2 linked regions of the Caenorhabditis elegans genome follow. The protein of the gene in region 2 purifies or fractionates together with the protein of the main gene of each other region. This does not show direct contact. Each region holds a gene or a part of one and is shown on either strand. Other genes may lie near its edges. The genes, in order: Y116A8C.33 and ctg-1.

The links.
Region 1: the proteins of ctg-1 (region 2) and Y116A8C.33 fractionate together in Caenorhabditis elegans (co-fractionation; one large-scale study listed by BioGRID). This does not show direct contact.

The regions. Positions count from the first base shown.
Region 1 is NC_003282.8:17,110,087-17,116,171, reverse strand, and holds Y116A8C.33 (uncharacterized protein), read right to left. Parts: upstream 4,060-6,085; 5' UTR 3,992-4,059; coding exon 3,964-3,991; intron 3,916-3,963; coding exon 3,844-3,915; intron 3,092-3,843; coding exon 1,089-3,091; intron 791-1,088; coding exon 755-790; 3' UTR 706-754; downstream 1-705. Other genes in the region: cyn-13 (Peptidyl-prolyl cis-trans isomerase E), read left to right, coding at 123-546, 4,711-5,034; sfa-1 (Branchpoint-bridging protein), read left to right, coding at 5,190-5,346, 5,842-6,085.
Region 2 is NC_003279.8:7,003,631-7,009,807, reverse strand, and holds ctg-1 (Protein ctg-1), read right to left. Parts: upstream 4,366-6,177; 5' UTR 4,089-4,365; coding exon 4,027-4,088; intron 2,979-4,026; coding exon 2,816-2,978; intron 2,561-2,815; coding exon 2,375-2,560; intron 2,094-2,374; coding exon 1,936-2,093; intron 1,893-1,935; coding exon 1,805-1,892; intron 1,565-1,804; coding exon 1,317-1,564; intron 1,035-1,316; coding exon 868-1,034; intron 822-867; coding exon 742-821; 3' UTR 608-741; downstream 1-607. Other genes in the region: chd-1 (Chromodomain-helicase-DNA-binding protein 1), read left to right, coding at 1-232, 282-302. UniProt on the Caenorhabditis elegans protein: Vesicle trafficking protein. Functions in uterine cells to promote basement membrane (BM) mobility and BM gap formation during tissue remodeling.

The sequences.
Region 1 (6,085 bases), on a different chromosome or scaffold from region 2:
TTTCCTAGTTTTCAGGTTTAATCTTTGTGATTTTTCATATTTTTTTAAAGATATTTTTACAAGTTTTTCAATAAAACCTGTGAAAAAAACATTTTTTATAATTTTAAAATTGCTATTTTCAGTGTCAACTTTGCTCGTCCACCAAAAGCCACCGAACGCTCACAGAAACCTGTCTGGGCAGACGACGAATGGCTCAAAAAGTATGGAAGAGGTGGAGAAGCTGCTGCGGAAGAAGACGGAGACGCTGAAAAAGCCGCCACGTCATCGTCGTCAGCCTCGACGAAGCTTCCACGTGTCTATCTGGGAGTGAAGATTGGAATTCGATATATTGGACGAATAGTGATCGAGTTAAGAACTGACGTTACACCGAAAACTGCCGAAAACTTCAGATGTTTGTGCACAGGAGAACGAGGATTCGGTTATGAAGGATCGATATTTCATCGGATTATTCCAAAATTTATGCTTCAAGGCGGTGACTTTACGAAAGGAGACGGAACCGGCGGGAAGTCGATCTATGGAACGAAATTTGATGATGAGAATTTCACGGTTAGGCACAAATTTTGATGAGCGGTATACTAGAAAAAATACTGTAAAAAATCGCATTTTCACAACGTTATTTGGTAATTATGCCAATAATTCGTGCTAAACATCAAATTTTCTGTAGAAAATGTGCCAAAATATGCGAAATTTTTGAAAAAATAACGAAACGAGATAAAAAATTTATTGATTTTTGGCAAAAAAAAAATCAATAGTTCTATTCAAATGCATCTCGTTTCAGAAGAAGAACGATCTGAAATTGTTCTCTATTTTATATCATGACACTACTACCAAAATTTATTTATCGATCCTTAAAATTTGCAAAAAATTTTGTTGCACAGAAAGTGGGACGGAGCTACGCAAAATTTTTCTCTTCTTTTCGAATTGGATAACATTTTCATTCGAAAAATCGAGAAAAATACAAGTAAAATTGAAATTATATTGCGGGGAAATACCTCATGCGGCAGTGTTGTGAAGCTACGCTCCGCCCCACTTTCTGTGCGACAAATTTTTTTGCAAAATTCAAGGATCGATAACCAAATTTACAGTACCTCTAGAAATTCCTGAAGAACTCCAAATTTGAATGGGGCCCATTGCAAAATTGTATTGTGCTTTGATAAAATAAAATCCAACGCTGCAATCTTCTCAAGAAAAGGGCTCGCCGGATCCATGGCTCTGAGGGCCTTTTCAATTGGGATAATATCAATGTCCGGAATTTCGGCTGTCAAGTTCTTGAGCGGATTAGTGTATCCTTTCAATGATTTAGCTCTCCACACATCAATTCTTGAAATATAAGCTTTTGCTTGACTTATTGCTGTCTCTAAGGAAGAAATATCTTCATGTCCCTTGACCTGACTAATCAGTGGCTCCAAGTCCACTAGACTATAGACACTTTGAACTACACTCTGAGATATGCCAATTTCATCGGTTTGATTCAACATCTGCGACATCTCATTCATTCTCAATGTCACCGGACTCGCAACTTCTCTCATTTTCTCTGGAATTGTTTTCACTGTAGAGAGTTCGTGTGAAAATTTGGATACCAATGGAGCAATCTGTTGAACATTTTGCAAATCTGCTCTCATAAACGCTTGAATCAATGGAACCATACGGATAACAGCTTCCGAGTTGTTTTTCAACTTTTTCAAGCAATTGTGAACTTCCAATTCGGAAGATATCTTGTCCTTGAATTCTTGGCTTTTCAGTTTTTCTTCAATAGCTTTACTCAAATTTTGAAAAATGAAAATCTCTTTATAGTCGATTGCTTTGATGCGGTCTCTGAGTTCATTTACTGTGATCAGGAATTTCGGGACACTTTTAGTTTCTAGAAAACGTTTCAGTGTTTCATTAACAAAACTTTGATTGTTTTTTAATAGTTGGAGAGAGTTAGAGTCCAGGAATTTGTTAAACTTTTTCTCAAATGTGAAACGATCGATAACATTATCCAGGTAATTCGAAAACAAGGTAACGTTACGCAAAAATTCGACATAAACTTTATCGGGAGACACAGCCGGATGCAAACGATAGCATGCTTCAAGCTTCTTCAGTACATCTGCAGAGTTTTCAATGTCAAGTGGAACTGATGAAAGTAGATTCTTCAAGTGTTCAAACCCATCAGAAATCAGAGAGTTTCCAGAGATAGCTGCCAACTCCTCATCAAACTTTTCAAGCATTTTATGGGCAATTTGTAGAGGCTTAAAGCTATCTGCCAGTTGGTTCAACAATGTTCTGTTAGCTCTCAGAATTCTTCCCAGCCAAGGATCTCCGAGCCGTTTAGAATCGACTCGTGGAAATTCTCTTTGTGCATCATTTTTGAGCTTTGTCACTCTTTGGACGTCTTCCTCAGAATCGTTTCTCTTCTTCGAAAGCTTGACCATTTGTAAGATGCTACTGCTCAAAATATCTCCTTTCTCATCTGTTTCTAACATATGAATCTCATTTCGATCATTCATCAACTTGAACATTTCTCGTAGTGGCTTAAACGTCGATTCTATTGATTTGTTCATTCCTTCAAGGTATTCAACATGTCGTACGCTCGAGACTTTGAGCATTATACTACCTAATTTTTCCAACAAAAATTGAGGACTCATTGTACGCTCGGTAATATTGAACGGCACATTCAAGCCCTCTTCAAGCCACTGCAGCATTTCGCCGATGTATTCAAGCATGTCGACTATGAAACGATGCCCATTGTCAGTGGAATCCTTGACATCTATAGCTAAGTCACGAAGAGTGTCAAAAAACTTATATTTTCCATGTAGTTCCAAAGTATTTCCATCAAATTTCAATTCATCAATGAACGTATTATACTTGATTAGTTGGCTCTCCACTTTCAATACTTCTTGCTCAGATCCCATTGATGTAGCCTTCAGATCATCAATCAATTTGAGAATATTTTCAGATTTGAAATTGGAAATATCAGAATTTCTATAGCTATTCAAAATTCCATCAATTGCAATAGTCTCATTCATTAATCCAGCTTGAAATTGAATTCCTTTTGGAAGTTGAGCAACTGTCGAGATACGGTCGATGTATTTTGATGGGAAGTACGGTGCTGAAATTTTTGAAATTTTTCAAGAATTTAATTTAGAAACGGTTGGAAACTGAAACACGGATATTTGTGGCTCAAAATCCACAGAGCTGATCTTTCCAGTTTTTATTGTACCAAAAAAAGAACCCAGAGGTGTTATACTCATTGTACAGTAGAGCGCCCTTTTATGGACGTAGCTTTTGCCGCCCCGTCACAGAGCGGTTTTTACTACGTGGCCGTAAAATAAGAAAACTCGGTGGCCTTCATAACATGGGTTCGGAACATTTTCTCAAAAATCGCCACGGTGGAACTATAATCCCAGATAAATCATTGGCCGAGTTTTGATTTTTCTAGGCCACGTAGTAAAAGCCGCTCTGTGCCGTGTTCAAAATGGTCACGTTTTGCAGAAAATTTTCTTATTTTTGTCATCAATTTTTTTTTTCACAAATTTTGAACAAATGTCATCAAATCGTACACCGTCACGCCAGTTTTGCTCAGTTTTGAGCCATTTTTCGTTTACTTCTTATTAATTGTATTCCGAAAAAAAAACAACTTTCTTATAAGAAATTGCCGAATCTCCGTTGTCTCCGAAAACTGTTGTCAAACTATACCCACGTTTTGCACAAAATTTGCTTATTTTTGTCATTCTTTCCCCGAAAAAATCCCACGTTTTTCTTTTCAACATTAGAAGAAAAAATTATAAAATTGTGTGCCGAGTACGTGCAGATTGCATCGAATTTCCCCCAACATATTCGCCAAAAAACCCGTATTTATACCTGGTGGAGAGAGCAATACATCCGGTACAAATGTGAAATTGGCGGGATGACTTGAAATTTGAATTGTTAGAGCTGAAAATATCAATAAAAAATCTGAAAATTACGAAATAAAAAACCCACCGATAAGGAAAACTACAAGAACTTTCATTTTGACGCCGATTGTGTTGAAAAATCGATGAGTTATCGGTTTTTTGAAGTTCAAATGTTCGAAATAAATGTTTTTAAATTGGGAAATTAACTTTTTTTTTTTTTTTTTAACTAGTTTTTTAAAAATTTTCACGTGCCCCAGAGTTTAAAAAAATTGGAATTCCTGTGTCAACTAACACTTAAATTGTAATTTTCTGAGTATTGGTGCAAACATAGGAAAAATTTCAAAATTGCAACTATTTTAAGCCAATTTTGACTCAAAAACTCTCCATCCAAAACCGCAGAAAAGTCAAAATTTTCCTTTTTTAATCTAAAATTTTTGCCATTCTTTATCCAGAGTCGAAAATTGTCCGTTTGAGACCGATTTTGCACTTAAAATTTCGGATTTGAATGCATTTTTATCAGTTTTTGCATTAAAAACCCATATTTTCCACCTAAAAACTCTTAAAATTCCGAAATTTTCCGTTTTTAACCAAAATTGCAACAATTACTAGCCAATTTTCACTCAAAAGCTCGAATTTTCCATCACAAACCGCTGAAAATTCGAGAATTTTCCTTTTTTATCCGATTTTTGATCTTAAATTCCAAATTGTTTTTCCATTCTCTTTCAAAAACCGCTCCAAATTTGAAAATTGTCTGTTTTAGACCGATTTTGCATCTAAAATTCCGTATTTTAAGCATTTTTTCACCTAAAAGCTCTAAAAATCTGAAAATTTCCAGCTCCGCCACACAATGCCCGGCACAGTTTCAATGGCGAACTGCGGTGCGAACACAAATGGCTCACAATTCTTCATTTGCACCGAGAAAACCGATTGGCTTGACGGAAAACACGTAGTGTTCGGTCATGTTGTTGAAGGAATGAATATTGTACGACAAGTCGAACAGCAAGGAACTCCGTCTGGCAAACCTCAGATGGTTGTGAAAATCGTGGAAAGCGGGGAAATTGAGCCGGAAAAACGGATTGCCGCCGAAAAATTGGCCCAGAAGGCAGTTGTTCCGGGAGCCGAGATTCAGGAGCCGCTTCCGCAGGCTATGGAGACTTAATTTATTGAATTTTAAAATTTATATGTTTTATTTTCAAAAAGAATTGTTTTAATTTATTTTCCTTTTTTTTTCCAATTTTCGTTCAGCGTCTCTCAAATCGCTATTATTTCTCTATTTTTCTTTGTATTTCCCTCTCAAAATCAACCACCCTACAGATGTCGAAAACTGGTGGAAACACGGAGCCAATGCCATTCATCCGGAAATGGGGCAACGAAGCTGGCGAAGATTTGGGAGCTGCCCCCAGTGCAACAGCAGCTCCACCACCAGCACTTGTTGTGCCAACAATTTCCTCCATGTCGTCTGGTGATAATAGTGAGTTTTTGTGTCGAAAATGGAAATTTTGTACATTTTTTGTATCGAAAAATAACAAAAAATCTATATTTTTTAAAATTTTTCGACGTTTTTTGAGTCTTGAAACTTGAAAATGCACTATTTTTGTTTTTTTAATCGAAAAATCAGAAAAAGTCGTATTTTTTTGAAAATTTCGGCAATTTTTCCCCATTCCATCGTTTTAGACAATTTTGAGTAAAAAACCTAGTAATCTATCATTTTTGTATTTTATGTCAAAAAAGGTGGAAAAATACAATATTCTTGTATTTTCGTCATTTTTTGAGTCGAAAAATTAGAAAAATTAATGGATTTTTCGATATAACAGCGAAAGTTTAAAAAAAGTCACATTTTCGCTATTTTTTGGCGATTTTGAAGGCTTTCTTTGTCGAAAAGTTGCAAAAAAAAATTGTAAAAAATGCAGAAAAACATGGAAAAAACTCAATAAAATTAAATACTCTGAATTTCCCCATATTTCAGAATCGCCATCTCGTTCGGAATCGGTGTCTGATCGAAAAAGGGACCGATCACGTTCTCGTGATCGTGACCGCAAGAAGGATCGAAAGAAGAAGGATCGTTCACGTGAACGAGATCGTGAACGCCGATCCTCTCGTTCCCGTTCTCGATCTCCTCGAGATAGAGATCGTGAACGTCGTCGTCGGCGGTCTCGATCACCACCACCTCGTCGTCGAAGCCGAAGCGGTGGAGATCGTCGGCGTAGAGA
Region 2 (6,177 bases):
TAGAAGTATAACTTCTGATAAACACAAAAATCACCATCACCATCACCATCATAAGAGTAAGGAGGAGAAGCCGAAAGAAGCCAAAGATCACAAGGAAAGGGATCGAGAGAAGGACAGAGAAAGGAATCGTGGAGAAAGGCGGATGGATCATGGTGAAGGAACTAGTAAGGACCATCATCGGGAACATCATAAAGATCATCACAAGGATCATCACCATCGGGAGCAACATAAGGTATTCATTAAGAAAACAACAACATTTTTTTGATGTTTAATATTTTCAGGAGAAAAACCGCCGACATTAGTCTAACTCCATCTTTTCGTCTACCTGCACACACTACACTCACGGGTTCTTCGTAAACTGCGATATAATTTCCATCATCCCGTTTCTCTTTCCCCAAAACATGTCAATTTTTAGTTTTCAAATTCGTTGTTGATAAATAGAAATTCTTATTCATTTCTAAATGATATAATCCTAATTTTGTCCGTTTATTTGCCATTCCTTATCCATCTAGCTCGATTTCTTTTCCTGTTTTCTTTGGTCGGGTTTACTTTTTTTTGTTTTTATTTCAAATGTTTATCACATTTCATCTTTTTTTGTTTCCTTTAATAATGATCTGTTTAATAGTCTTATTAGCTACAAAGCGTGATCTTTATATAAAATTAATATAATCATTAGTTTTGAAAATTGTAAATAATTATACATTATTATTATCAGCGTTATCCTCCGATTAACATTAGAATTTACAAATCTTCGATTTCAATATTGTAGCGCAATTGCTTGGCAGAGAACCACGAATAGTAGTTGTCGAATTCGAGAACATCTGAACGCTTGAAAAGTTGAAAATATAAAAAAAAGAAGAAACGAACAGTTTCCAACATCAGTCACATCGAGATGTCCTGTGATTGGAACATTTGTACATTCGAGACGAATATATGGATAAACAGTTTCCATTTCAGTTAACTTATCACATGATCCTGTTTTATCATAATGAATTTCAAACCCAATGTCATCTTCATCAGTCATATAGGTCCAGCTGGAAAATATTTTATTACAAAATTTATCACCGAATATTCTAGTAAAACTCGAAATTTATTTATTTATTACAGTCATAATTTTGGCAGATGACCGCAAAAAATTATAATACATGATCTGATTTAAATACGTTTTAATAAGGCGTTCAAAAATGTTGAGCATTGAATTTTAAAACAACCTAATTGTTTAAAGTTTAAATTTGGCAATTTTTCAAGAATATGCTTTTAAGATACATGTTGAAAATTTGCAAATATTTGATCCACCACAAAAACCCATTACAAACCTTATCCGGCTTGGACGTTTCACTTTGATCTGAATTAAATGTTTATCTCCTGCGTAAACTGTAGTCAATTGATCGTAGTCAGCCATCGCCTTTTTTGGATCCACGAAATAGCTTTCATCGACAGCGCCACCTCCGTATTTGATACGTGACGGACATTTTGGGTCACCGTTTTCGACGAGATTACCTCCCCAATACATTGGCCATGCATCGAGGTTTACGATTTGAGCAAGAGACCATTTCCAATCAGACTGAAAAATATTTATTGATTAAAGTTCAATTCAACGTTTAATACGATCTTTGATTTTCCTTATTAAAAAAGTTCTAACGATTTTATCGAAGAATTGATCTAGTCTTATTCAGTTGTAATATTTGTATTAGGAAACCAAATAAGTCCTTGGACAAAAATCATAGATAATCTTAGAAAACATAATGAAAATATACACTTCAAAATTTTTTGTTGGAATTTTTTCAAAAATAAAAAATCTTACCTCGGAAGGCATTTCCACGAGGCGAGTGATCGGATCTTGAAGAATTGCCGTAATAGAAGCGTACGCAATTCTAGCCATTTCTGGTGCTCTGAAATGTATTCATTTATAACAAAGACGTAATTATTACTAACCTGATAATAAGAATCTTCCGAAGAAACAATGGGTAATGATCTTGGAAAAGACTGACAAGAGTTGTAAATGATGAAGCAAACTGTTTGCATGAAAAATGAGCAGATGTGATATTTTCCAAATCAAAGACTAATGTCATTTGTTCGAATGGACGGCCGGACTGCAATATTTTGTTTTTGTAGGTCAATGCATTTGTTTCCAAATGAAAACATATTGTTAAAAAAACACCCTAACTATTTCAAATTTTTCTAAAATTTCAGGTAACTTCCAAATTTTCAGAAATTTAGAGCACTGCCAAATAATCGAACACCAACAATGTTTAGATAAAAGTAGTGAAATCATACTGAGAAAATAAAAATCGTAAAAAAAAGGGACTCATTTTCAGCCAGAAAATAATTTAACTTATAATCAATACACTTCTCAAACATTGAAAGAACACACCTCTTTTGCTTTTTCTTCACAAAGTTTCATTCCTTTTTCAATTGCAGCCAATGAGAATTTGATATAATCCAATGAAGCAACTGATCTCAAAAGTCCTTCAACATCCACATTTCCCAACAGTGACATAAGGATTGGACGTCCTTCTGTGTCTCCCAGCAATCCATAACCACAATATTTTTCTAGACACTGAAATTAAATTTATATTCAATCAGCAGCTTTCCAATCAAAACTTCAATGTTTTCATACATTTTTCTCCTTAGCTTCTATGATTTTGATCAACTTTGCCCCTTTCTTTTCAAAATTGAATTATAAAATATCTGACAAATTTTATTTTTCAACGTTGTAATTTTTGGATCTTTATCTTATGAATGATAAAATCGTTGAAGCTATATAAAAGTGATGTATGATCTATAATGATTCATTAAATTCATCATCACTTACTTCTGGAGGAGTCCATTGTTCAATTTTATCAAGATGCCAAGCATTACGGAATGTCACATGCTTCTTTAAGCTTTCAGCAGTTTCATCAAATCGTCCTTCTTTTGCACGGAGCCAGCGGAGCACATAACCATCGTTTAAATTGTCTATTTGTGGAACTATTGATCTAAATATTGAACATTTTCTTTCCAATTTTTGTGAGTAATGTAATTTTTAATTGTTCATAAATTCAGTAGCTTTCTGAGTCTATACTGCATGACTAAAGCTATCAAATTTAGAGTAGCATCCGTGGGGAAAATGTTTAGAAATTTTTCTATGGTGCGAAAATGACCAAATATCATAGCAAAATTTTTCAAGTTCTTTTTTTTTGAAATTTTTGTCTTTATAATCAAAACGTAGCAATTACCCAGTCTTCATCTATCATAATTTTGGAAGCAAATCAAAAAAACTTTTTTTCAATTTTTTAAACGTTTTTTATATTTCAAATGTGCTCCCAGTATTTGTCTTCAAATATTATAAGCAATTGAAACAAGCGAATTGCTCAAAAATTCTTTAAAAGTACTCATTTTCAACGAAAATTTGGCAATTTTACAAAACGTTGACTGATAATTTTTTAGAGTGTTTATGAAAAAAAATTACATTGTTTGGGAACAATTTGTGAGTATAAAACATTTGAAGACAACTTTTCCGGGATATTCTATGATCTCATCCAAAACTAAGGCGGGGGATTCACCATCGTATAATTATTTTAACAAGGTCGTTCACAATTCTTGTGGGAAGAATGGACAACTTATTTATTGTATGTGACAATGAAAAATCTTCTGAGATTGGAATTTAATATGTTTTGAAACAATTTGAATATAAAAGTTCAAAGTAGAAAGTACGCGAAAGTTGAACGGATATTACAGAAAAATAAAAAGATGTTTATACGGTGATTACTACATGGAAGATCACAATCTTACCCAACTTTGTGAATTTGGTTGAAAACTATTGTAAGATTGAATATATTTTATTCTAAAGTTCTAACAGTTACTACGTATCTGTAACTCAAAATCTATTCAAAGAAGGTATTCAGTGAAAATTTTCAAAAACAAGTAGTTTTTTTTAATTTTCGAAAAAAAATTACGGTTTCTTTATAAAGATGTAAAAAATTCCTAATCGGAATAAAATTGTAAACGTGTAAATCAATATAAAACGTGTCAAGACCTGTATACCTGAGATCTCGAATAGTTTGCTGTTCGATGGACGTTGCAGCGGCAGTCGGCGACACCAACATTACTCGATGCAATGAATGAATTGGACGAGATGGAAGAAAAGACGAGATGGGATTGAAAAAGAAGAAAAGAAGAAGGAATAGGCGGAATGTCTGTCCACTCTACACTCAATCTTATACTATTTCTCAGTTACTGTAGTATTGTCTATGTTGTGTAATATCTCCGCAAATCTGTCGCATCGGCCCCCGTGTCTCGTCCAGCAGCAGCGCCGGTCACCGCCTTCGTCTCTTCCGAAGGCCTCTTGTAGATTTCAATCGTTGGTGAGGAACGAGAAACAGCCTAAGGAAAAGAATTGCAGGTGTCATCACATGGTTTTTGTGATTTTTGGAATGAATATCAGGTCTTGGAAATAACACCTAACTTGACAAAGTATTCAAATATAATCGGCCAATCTGTCAGGAAAATTAATGTTGAGTGTCGTTGTAACACTTATTTAAAAAACCGACGTGTGTTGAATGAGAAAAAAAGCGTTTTGTGCGTTTGGCACAGGCAATCTATCCCATGCTCACATTTCCCATGCACACATTTCCCATGCTGACATTTTCTCCCGTGCATACAAAATATTCCCATGCTTACGCCCAGTAGTTCGAGTACTCCCATGCCTACAACTCATGTTTTCCCTTTTTTCCGTTCCCATGCTGACATTCTCATACATACATTTTTTCCGGTGCATACAAAATTCCCATGCTTACATCCAGTAGTCGAACGTTCCCATGCTGACATTCCCATATTTTAACATTTTTTTTTCTCTCTATTTTGTAGGATATCATTAATTCGGTGAATTCCACAACTTTGAATGTTCATATTGCTGTTTCCGTGCAGTTATGAGTTTCGCAGTGTCTTAGGAACATTCCATTTTTTGTTGCATTTTGTAGGAATTCGGAGCTATCTTATAATTTCTACAAATTAGAAAGTCCATTTTGCATTATTTCATGTATCTCAAACCTATTGCTTCAAAAATAGCACAGAACGAATGTTGATTCTGTTTCTTTCATTAAAAAATGTGCTACTGTGCATTTTTTTTTCCCACTTCTACGACTTTAAAGGCGCGCGAATTTTCGCGCAATAATCTCGCCACGCGCATCCCATTGATTTGTTGAGCGCTGGCGAGACCAATGACGGGACCATTTTGTATAAATCGCGCGCCTTTAAAGTCGTAGAAGTGGGAAAAAATGCACAGTAGCACATTTTTTAATGAAAGAAACAGAATCAACATTCGTTCTGTGCTATTTTTGAAGCAATAGGTTTAAGATACATGAAATAATGCGAAATGGATATACTAATTTGTAGAAATTATAAGATAGCTCCGAATTCCTACAAAATGCAACAAAAAATGGAATGTTCCTAAGACACTGCGAAACTCATAACTGCACGGAAACAGCAATATGAACATTCAAAGTTGTGGAATTCACCGAATTAATGATATCCTACAAAATAGAGAGAAAAAAAATTTTTGAGCAAAAAAAAAATTTTACTCTATAGGCAGTCATCCCCATTTTTCTTCGATTCCTTGTTCATAATCGAGAACTAATGCATTTTGAAAAAAAAAGTGATCAGTTGTAACTGAAAGCTGTCAAGTAAGCCTAATACAATGAAAATGAGTAAAAAAATTGACTTTGTTCTCTTCTGGAGCACAAAAATGCTCCATGTCGGCATGGGAATACATTTTTGTAAGTATGGGAACAAATGTTTGTATGGGAATGTCAGCATGGGAACGTTCGACTACTGGATGTAAGCATGGGAATTTTGTATGCACGGGAAAAAATGTATGTGGGGGAATGTCAGCATGGGAACGAAAAAATGGAATAAATGAGGTGTATGCATGGGAGTACTTCGACTACTGAGCGTAAGCATCAGAATATTTTGTATGCACGGGAGAAAATGTATGTATGAGAATATCAGCATGGGAACGAAAAAAAAGGAGAAAAATGAGTTGTAGGCATGGGAGTACTCCAACTACTGGGCGTAAGCATGGGAATTTTGTACGCACGGGGGAAAGTGTCAGCATGGGAAATGTGTGCATGGGAAATGTGAGCATGGGATAGATTGCCTTTGGCACAGTGCCAGTTCCCCTTTTCGTTGCTCCCCTTT